Mus musculus: one gene and its partner. The protein of the gene in region 1 binds, or shares a complex with, the protein of each later gene. Links are inferred from orthologs where the notes say so. Each region holds a gene or a part of one and is shown in the gene's direction. Other genes may lie near its edges. The genes, in order: Zc3hav1 and Khnyn.

What was found.
Region 2: the proteins of Zc3hav1 (region 1) and Khnyn are in contact, whole or in part, in a crystal structure (PDB 9BGL), measured with the Homo sapiens proteins. The link is inferred for Mus musculus from reciprocal best matches to the Homo sapiens genes ZC3HAV1 and KHNYN. Residues at the interface, in NP_064504.2 of Homo sapiens: Glu5, Val6, Cys8, Phe9, Lys12, Ile13, Ala16, His17, Glu29, Ile30, Ala31, Leu32, Leu113, Glu115, Phe118, Ser127, Gly128, Leu129, Asn130, Glu133; in NP_001277186.1 of Homo sapiens: His651, Lys652, Asp654, Phe655, Gln658, Arg659, Pro661, Tyr662, Asn677, Phe678.

The regions. Positions count from the first base shown.
Region 1 is NC_000072.6:38,309,362-38,313,165, reverse strand, and holds part of Zc3hav1 (zinc finger CCCH-type antiviral protein 1), read left to right. Parts: intron 1-681; coding exon 682-772; intron 773-1,445; coding exon 1,446-1,576; intron 1,577-1,854; coding exon 1,855-1,988; coding exon of another isoform or gene 1,989-2,107; exon of another isoform or gene 2,108-2,669; intron 2,670-3,804.
Region 2 is NC_000080.6:55,883,714-55,887,983, forward strand, and holds the start of Khnyn (protein KHNYN), read left to right. Parts: upstream 1-1,228; 5' UTR 1,229-1,429; intron 1,430-2,060; 5' UTR 2,061-2,077; coding exon 2,078-2,278; intron 2,279-2,778; coding exon 2,779-3,905; intron 3,906-4,000; coding exon 4,001-4,131; intron 4,132-4,207; coding exon 4,208-4,270. Other genes in the region: Cbln3 (cerebellin-3 precursor), read right to left, coding at 199-474.

The DNA.
Region 1 (3,804 bases):
GTCAGGTCCAGGCTGGGTTTTTGGTCCAGGCTGGGTTTTTGGTCGGGATGCTATGCTCTGGTTAGTTACCCTGTTTACTGACGTTAAGGGATGGCTGTGGGTATTTCAGTCTTCCAGCTGATCTCTCACCCTGAAATCTTTGCTTACCTGTCTATCATTTGGCAAAGAAGTTACAAGACACACAGGCTCCCCCTGACAACCTATACCTTTGAAGGTTGAGCAGATACGTCAAAAAGAATTGGTGCCTTTAGTTTTATCTACTATCTATCCATCCATCCATCCATCCATTCATTTACTCAGTGCGTGTGTGTATAGGTGTGTGCACCCCACACACAGGAGGTCGTCAAGAACAAACTCTAAAGAGTCAGTTCTTTCCTACAACCTGAAAGGATCTAGCAATGAGACTCGCCATTAGGCCTTCATGCAGGCATCTGTACGTCCTGAGCTATCTCGCCGTTCCGTGCTTTTACAGTGTAAAGAAGTGGGAGAGAGAGTGTTTACATTACTAAATTCCCCCTTTTTAAAACCTGTGGTTGCTGGAACCAGGAATTTTCAGGGGTAGTTCAGAGGATATACAGAAGTCAACACCACATTTCCCAGAAAAGCCCTGACTTTCTGGCTGTGTGTTGAGGGTACAAAGAAAGGGAACCGAGTAAATTTTCCTTCTGTCTTTCTTTGTAGCCATCAGCCAGTGATGCCCCAGGCAGATGCTCTGACCCTGTTTTCTTCTCCCCAGAGGAATGCTAGCACTGTTTCTTCTAACGAATATGAGGTAACTGGCTTTGCTTGTTTGGTGGGTGAATCCTTTAAAGGTAGGAAAATGCTTTACAGTAAGCATATGGATTTGTTAACAGAATGAGTGAGTTGCTTCTTCAAACCCTAGCTCCAGAGTCAAAGGCAAGGTGCCTGGGTATAACCAGGATGCTTTCTCAGAGAACAACTGTTCTATAGGGCATCTCAGTGTCTCCAGAGATGCAATGTCATTCAGGCAGATTCTCACAGCCATCCTGTGAGACCATAACTGATAAAGAAAGCAGGATTCTGAGAGCAACAGTAGCCCAGCTTCCTGTGTCCCACGCTGTCACCATCCCGGTGGAGACAGGACTGTTCCTAGTCTGGTTTAGCCTTTACATCTGGCTCCAGCTTTTGTGAAGGCCAATCTGCATGTGTTCCGTAGGCATCTCTGATCTCTCTGTCACTGGTTGGTTTTGGAATTTGAACAATTAACTTCCTGGGTCTCTTGGACTAAGTGGTACACCACAAAGGTTGGCCTGAACAGACAGGTGTATGTGCCTGTTGGTTCATTACCAGATATGGGCATGCTAAGCCAGCCCTGCCCTCCTGAGAACAGCAGTGGTTGACAGGGCACGGGCGGGCACATGTGATGATTAGCATGCTCTCAGTGTTTCCTAGGTAACATAGAAACATCTTTTTTTCCCCTTAAGTTTATAGAGCTCAATAACCAGGATGAGGAGTATGCCAAAATAAGTGAACAGTTTAAAGCATCCATGAAACAATTCAAGATTGTGACGATAAAGAGGATATGGAACCAGAAGCTCTGGGACACTTTTGAGAGGTGACATAATCAGACCTTGTTTGGAGGGTCATGTTATTCGAGTAGATCAAGAGGGGCGTATTCATTTTATTATTTTATTTGTGCATTTATTTATTTGACACTAGGGTGCGGGGCATGCACATCACAAGAAAACTTGCTGGAGGCTGTTGTTCTCCACCCCCCACCCCCCACCCCGGGCCACATGGGTCCAGGTGACTGAACTCAGCTCTTGTACCCAGTGGCGGCCATCTTGCTGGCCTAGTGTTCCTGGTACTGAATGTCACATTTCTCTTTATCAGAAAGAAGCAAAAGATGAAAAACAAGACTGAGATGTTCCTATTTCACGCGGTGGGCCGGATTCATATGGATTACATCTGTAAGAATAATTTCGAGTGGATCCTACATGGAAACCGGGAGATCAGATATGGAAAAGGTTTGTGCTGGAGGAGAGAGAACTGTGACTCCAGCCATGCGCATGGTTTCCTTGAGATGCCCTTGGCATCACTTGGTAGAACTGCATCTCTGGACTCCAGTGGCCTTCAGAGAAAATAAGCTGAGTTACCTTGTTAGGACAGCTCCATTGTCTTGAGGGTGCTTTGCCTTGGCCCTAGGGCTCCTTGTCTGTTTGTCTTTTTCTCTGGGAACAACTCAAGATCTTCCTATTTGTAAACTGTTCCGTCTGCTGGCTATGTTCTCTGCCATTGCTGTTTACTAGAGATGGCTTTTCCTGATCGCTGTCTGTGGCTGCAGAGCTATTCAAAGTAGCTTTCTAATTAATGCCACTGATGGTTCCAGGGGAGAGTGGGGAGAAGCCCGTTCTCATCTCAGGGCTCTGCCCTCACACAGAATGCTTTTTTTTTTATGAACCCTTCATTCTTTGTGGGTGTTTAAGGAATAAGATATGGTCAGACCTGACAGTGCAGGCTTAGGAGGCCGAGGCAGGAAGATTTATTTAGTCCAAGGCTAGTGTGTACTACAAAGCTAGCTCAAAGCTAGCCACAACAACTTAGTAAGACCAAGTCTTAAAATAGAAAGAAAAAAGGTTGGGGCTATTTCTTAATGGTAGAGGCCTGGTCTAGCCTGAGAGAGGCCCCACAGGTTTAGCTACAGTACCAGAAAGAGAGAAAAATAAAGTATAACGATACAGATGTATAGAAATGTCATGGTCAAACCCAGTACATTGTATGCTGACCTAAAAATTAAATGAACAAGAAGAGGATGAGAAAGATGATGATAATGATACAGCGATTCTGGTGGCTATTGTATGCTGTAGGTCTGGGGCAGTTTAATATAGAAGTTTATAGTAGGGCCCAGACCTAGCACAGTACAAAATAATAATACAAAATAGTTGGGTGTGGTGGTGGGTTTGTTTGTTTGTTTGTTTGTTTTCAGACAAGGTTTCTCTGTGTAGCCTTGGCTGTCCCAGAACTCACTCTGTAATCCAGGCTGGCCTTAAATTCAGAAATCTACCTGCCTCTACTAAATGCTGGAATTAAAGGCATGTGCTGTCACTGTCCAGCTTTGGTGCATGAGTGTAATGCAGTGGCAGGAGACAGGGAAGGGGGCAGAGGCAGGAAGGAGGCAGAGGCAGAGGCAGGAGGCAGGAAGGGGGCAGAGGCAGGAAGGGGGCAGAGGCAGGAAGGGGGCAGAGGCAGGAAGGAGGTAGAGGCAGGAAGGGGGCAGAGGCAGGAGGCAGGAAGGGGGCAGAGGCAGGAAGTGGGGCAGAAGCAGGAGGAGGACAGAGGCAGGGGGATCTCTGAAATTGAGTTTAGCCTGGTTCACAGGGAAAGTTCCAGAAGAGCCAGGCCTACCTATTGAGACCTTGTCCTTCAGTGACTCAGGGACTCTGGATCAATGTGGAGCACAGCTGTAAAGATCAGTCTGGTCAAACTGAGGAGCTGGGAGCATAGAGGAAGGAGTGAGAGCAACGGCTGGATTTGTTTGTGTGTTTGGTTATTTTCCAATTCCTGACCTATTTTCTAAGTCAGCAGAAAGATCCTGGATGGACTAATTTAATTCTCTTGCAAATACCTTTGTTTTTGATTAAACCTTACATTGATGAGAAGACAGCACCATGGGGTTTGGGGAAGACATACAGAAGAAAGCTCAGGGCTGAGGAGAATAGTTCAGGCTCAGTCAGAGGACCTGAGTGCAATGGAGACTGGATGACGGGTCTCTTGTAACCTCAGTGCTGGGGAGGCAGGCAGGTACATCTCTGGGTCTCTCTGACTGGGCAGCATAGCCTGGAT
Region 2 (4,270 bases), on another chromosome or scaffold:
AGTCAAAAACTATGAGGAAGGGCTACGGTGCTGTGTGTATGAATGAAAGAAGGCCAACCAACGGTCAGTGGCCATCTTAGAGGAAGGTGGTGCAAGAGATGCAGGTAATGGTTTCCTTGGAGTCCGAGGGATGCAAAGGGGCTTGGACAGTAGAGTCCAGGTCCTTGCATGTCTTCCGGACAGAGGCAGAGGGATTACCTGGTCGAAGTAGATGGCACCACTGGTACCGTTGCCGGTTTCTCCTGCTGGTTCATGGTGATGGCTTCGGACTGCAGCAAACGCCACTCGTCCTGGGGGTGCCTCTCCCAGGGCTGCACCCCCAGGTCCTCCTGCAGTAGGTCGGCCTGGCTCACAGACCACCAGGCACTCCCCCTCCAGTAGGACAGGCTCTGACCCTTCTTGAGCCCACCCAGCCTCCAGGGTCAGAAGCACCAGGGCCAAGGACAGCTTGGGTTTGTGCCATTCCGTCCCCATCCTTGCTAGGTGCCTCTGTAACTCACAGATTTTCCTGTCTTCTGTCCCCTTGGCTCTCCCCCCTCTGCTTCAAGGCTTCAGTACTCCTGCCCTGCTCTGCTGTCCTCTGTGAGTCTGGCACCTAGCCCGGGCACTCCCCTCCCTGTATCTTTTTGTGTCCCACAGCTCTGCCTGGCCTTACTACTGCTGTCTCTGCGGATCCCTCCTCCTTGGCAGAGCATGGAGTGACAGCAGTTGGGCCCTGGGAGGGAGAAGAGGAATGGAGAGAGGATATGAGGGCTCTAGCCACACAAGGGTGTGTACACACACACACACACACACACACACACACACGAAACAAAATTTCTTCAATTCCTTTCTCATCTTCTCCTTTTCAGTCTTTCTCCATGGGGTTTTCCTTATTGTGGCAAGGTGTGTGTCCTCATCTCCCCCCCCTTCCCCCCCTACTCCCCCAACTCTATCTACTTGGTGAAAGTGCTTGTGTCAAGGGCAGGATTCTCTTGTGACTCTGGACCAGTCACTTCTCTTGGAACCATCAACTGCAGAACTCCCAAGGACCCCAGGAACTGGAGGCGAACGTGAGAGTTGGCAGGAGGCGTTGGGGGTGGGGTGAGTGTCTGTGACCCGGTAGGCCCCGCAGGGGATGTGGAGGGCGGGTCGCTCGGCAGCAGGACAGCAGGCCGAGCCGGGGAGGAGGAGCGCAGCCCTGCCCCGAGCCCTGGCCAGTGCGGCCCTAGCGGGGGAGGAGCCGAGCTGGCTCCGCCCCGGGCCGGAAAGTGACTCCAAAGCCACAACGCGTTGTTGACGAGAGAAGTCTAGGTTGGGTGAAGGATCCGAGAAGGCCCTCCCAGATTCGGGCTCCCAGCCCCAGGCCCCTGGGGCGCGGGAGAAACGCGGGCCCCTCCTCCCCCGCCGCGGGCACCTAGAGGAGCGGGCGGAACTCGCGGCTTTGGCGGTAGGCGTCCCCCTTCCGGGCGATCGGGAGCTGAAGGCCGTGGCGGGAGGGTGGTCGGGCTGGGGGCGGCCGCCGCAGGCTGTGGGAGGGCGGGCTATGCCCCTGGGCCCCGGGTGGGATGCTTGACAGTGGACAAACGAGGAGGGGGGGCGGGGGCGGGGAGGTGGGAGTGGTTAGTGAAGGAATAAGGCGGATAGGGGAAACCCCCACCCCAGGACTACACTGTTAGAGCCTCTGGCGCGTATTCATTTCCCAAGAGGCCCTCCTCTACTCAAAAAATCCGAGACCTCTCAGCTCTGGGACTCTTTCCTCAAACCACCCACTTCTTGTGACCCTCAAAATGAGCTGGAGGCCCTCTCAACTCGTCCCTTCTCAGGGCGGTGGTCATCAGTTTTCTCTGGCCAGTCGCCCACCCCAGCTAGCCCTGTTTAAGAAGGGCTTACTCTCAGGGAGAGGCCTGTGTATAGATGATTTTCTATATTCTCCACCCGCGAGGTGGACTTGCTATCTCCTGGGGTTGTTTACCAGTTCTGTCACTAGGTGCGACCTGTTGATTGTTGGATGTATGCCATGTGATTAGGATTTGGGTTGAAGGGAGACAGAGACTTTGAGATTGCCTCTGCCCTTCCAGGACTCCAGGTAGAAGCCATGTCTACTTGGGGGTTTGCCTCCCCGACTCCCGACCGCTTTGCGGTGTCTGCGGAGGCCGAGGACAAGGTTCGGGAGCAGCAGACTCGCTTGGAGCGTATCTTCAACGTGGGAATGAGCGTCCTCTCCAAAGACTGCCCAGAGAATCCTCATATCTGGTTGCAGCTTGAGGGCCCCAAGGAGAACGTCTGCAGAGCCAAGGTGAAGTCCTCTTCCTTTTAGGGCTGCTACAAAGCCTTTTAGGACGCTGCCCCTCCCGAGGCCGAGTCGGAGGAGGGACTGGGAAATGCCTCTTGGCAATCTTATTGGCTGCCTCTCTCTTGAGCTTTGAGGAACTCAGCAAACCTTTTTATTTAGAATTTTGGTTTCACTTCTGCTGTGCTGCCTAGGTTCTTCAGGCTTTAGAACCAAATCACTTCATGCTCTTGGAGATAGTAAGGTAATCCCCTCTGTACAGGTGGGCCTTGCCAGGGAATTCCCTGGGGTTGAGAGGGGGCCGGCCACTTTTTCCCCCCTTTGCACCCAAGGCCAATAGGCTCCATCACTTGACAGCCCTCTGGTCTGTTCTTACATTTCCATAGGTCTACAGTGTGAATAGAAACAGTATCTACTTAGATGATGTAATAGCTTGAAGCTCAGGGAGAGCAGTGAATCTGAAAGGGATGGCTTCTAGAAGTTTCCTCTCTGACCTCCCTATCTAGGAATACCTGAAGGGGCTCTGCAGCCCAGAACTACAGAGTGAGATCCACTACCCACCCAGACTGCACTGCATCTTTCTGGGAGCCCACGGTTTCTTCCTTGACTGCCTGGCCTGGAGCACATCTGCCCACCTGGTGCCTCTGCTTCCTGGCTCTCTGATGATCAGTGGCCTAACCGAGGCGTTTGTGATGGCCCAGAGCCGGGTGGAGGAGTTAGTGCAACGGCTGAGCTGGGACCTTCAGCTACAGTCTTGTCCCGGAGCCCCTGACAATGGCGGAGTGCTGAGAGACTTCTCTGCCCTGCTGCAGACTAGGGAGGATGCCTACACAGAGGCCCTGCTGCGGCTGCCCCTGGCCGTGCAGGAGGAGCTCCTAAGCCTGGTGCAGGAGGCATCTAGAGGGCAGGGTCCATCTCGTGAGGTGGGGAGCTCAGGCCTGTTGAGTCCTCAGTTCCAGGGAGTCAGGGCTCCCTTGAATGAAGGCAGGGAATTCGTAGGCACCAGAGTGGCAGGGTCGGGAAAGTCGCCAGCAGTAAGAGGACAAAGTCATACTGTGGAGAAGGAGGAAAGGAAACAGGATGCTGTCAGGGACATGGGTTCAGGGCGGAAGGAGCTGTCTGGGGAAGAGGTCTGGGAGCCTGGAGTGGCTTACAGGTCACAGCTAGCAGGTGGAGGAGCAGAGGAGGTGGCACCCTTGAAGGGAAAGGCCTCGGGGAAACAGGAGGTTCCTCAGCAAAGAGGAGGGTTCAGTGTGCAGGGTGAACCTTCAGGTGCGCATGTGCCCTGTCAGAGGGCAGCTCCAATCCGGGGAGCCTCTCTCCTCCAGCGGCTCCACAATGGGAGCGCCTCACCTCCGAGAGTGCCTAGCCCTCCGCCCGCGCCGGAACCCCCATGGCCCTGTGGAGACCGAGACCGAGATCGAGATCGGGGAGACAGGGGAGACAAGCAGCAGGCTGGAGCTCGAGGCCGAGGGTCTCCGTGGAAGCGAGGCACTCGTGGGGGCAACTTGGTGACTGGCACGCAGCGTTTCCAGGAAGCCTTACAGGATCCTTTCACCCTGTGCCTTGCCAATGTGCCTGGCCAGCCAGATCTCCGTCACATTGTCATTGATGGCAGCAACGTGGCCATGGTGTAAGTAGCTGGTGGGACTGAGTTCTGGAGACAGCCTCTGAGGGGCTTGTGCCGCAGCCTTCTCTGGGTCCTGACGTCGACGCTCTCCGTAACAGGCACGGACTCCAGCATTACTTTTCCAGTCGGGGTATTGCTCTCGCTGTACAGTACTTCTGGGACCGTGGCCACCGTGACATAACCGTCTTTGTGCCTCAGTGGCGCTTCAGTAAAGATTCCAAGGTCAGAGGTAAGTTGGGTCTGGTCATCTGTGTCCTGGTGAGGCTGGGTCCACCTTGAGAACCCTGTTGCACTTTGTTCTACAGAGAGTCACTTCCTGCAGAAGTTGTATTCCCTGAGTCTGCTTTCCCTGACACCCTCACGAGTCA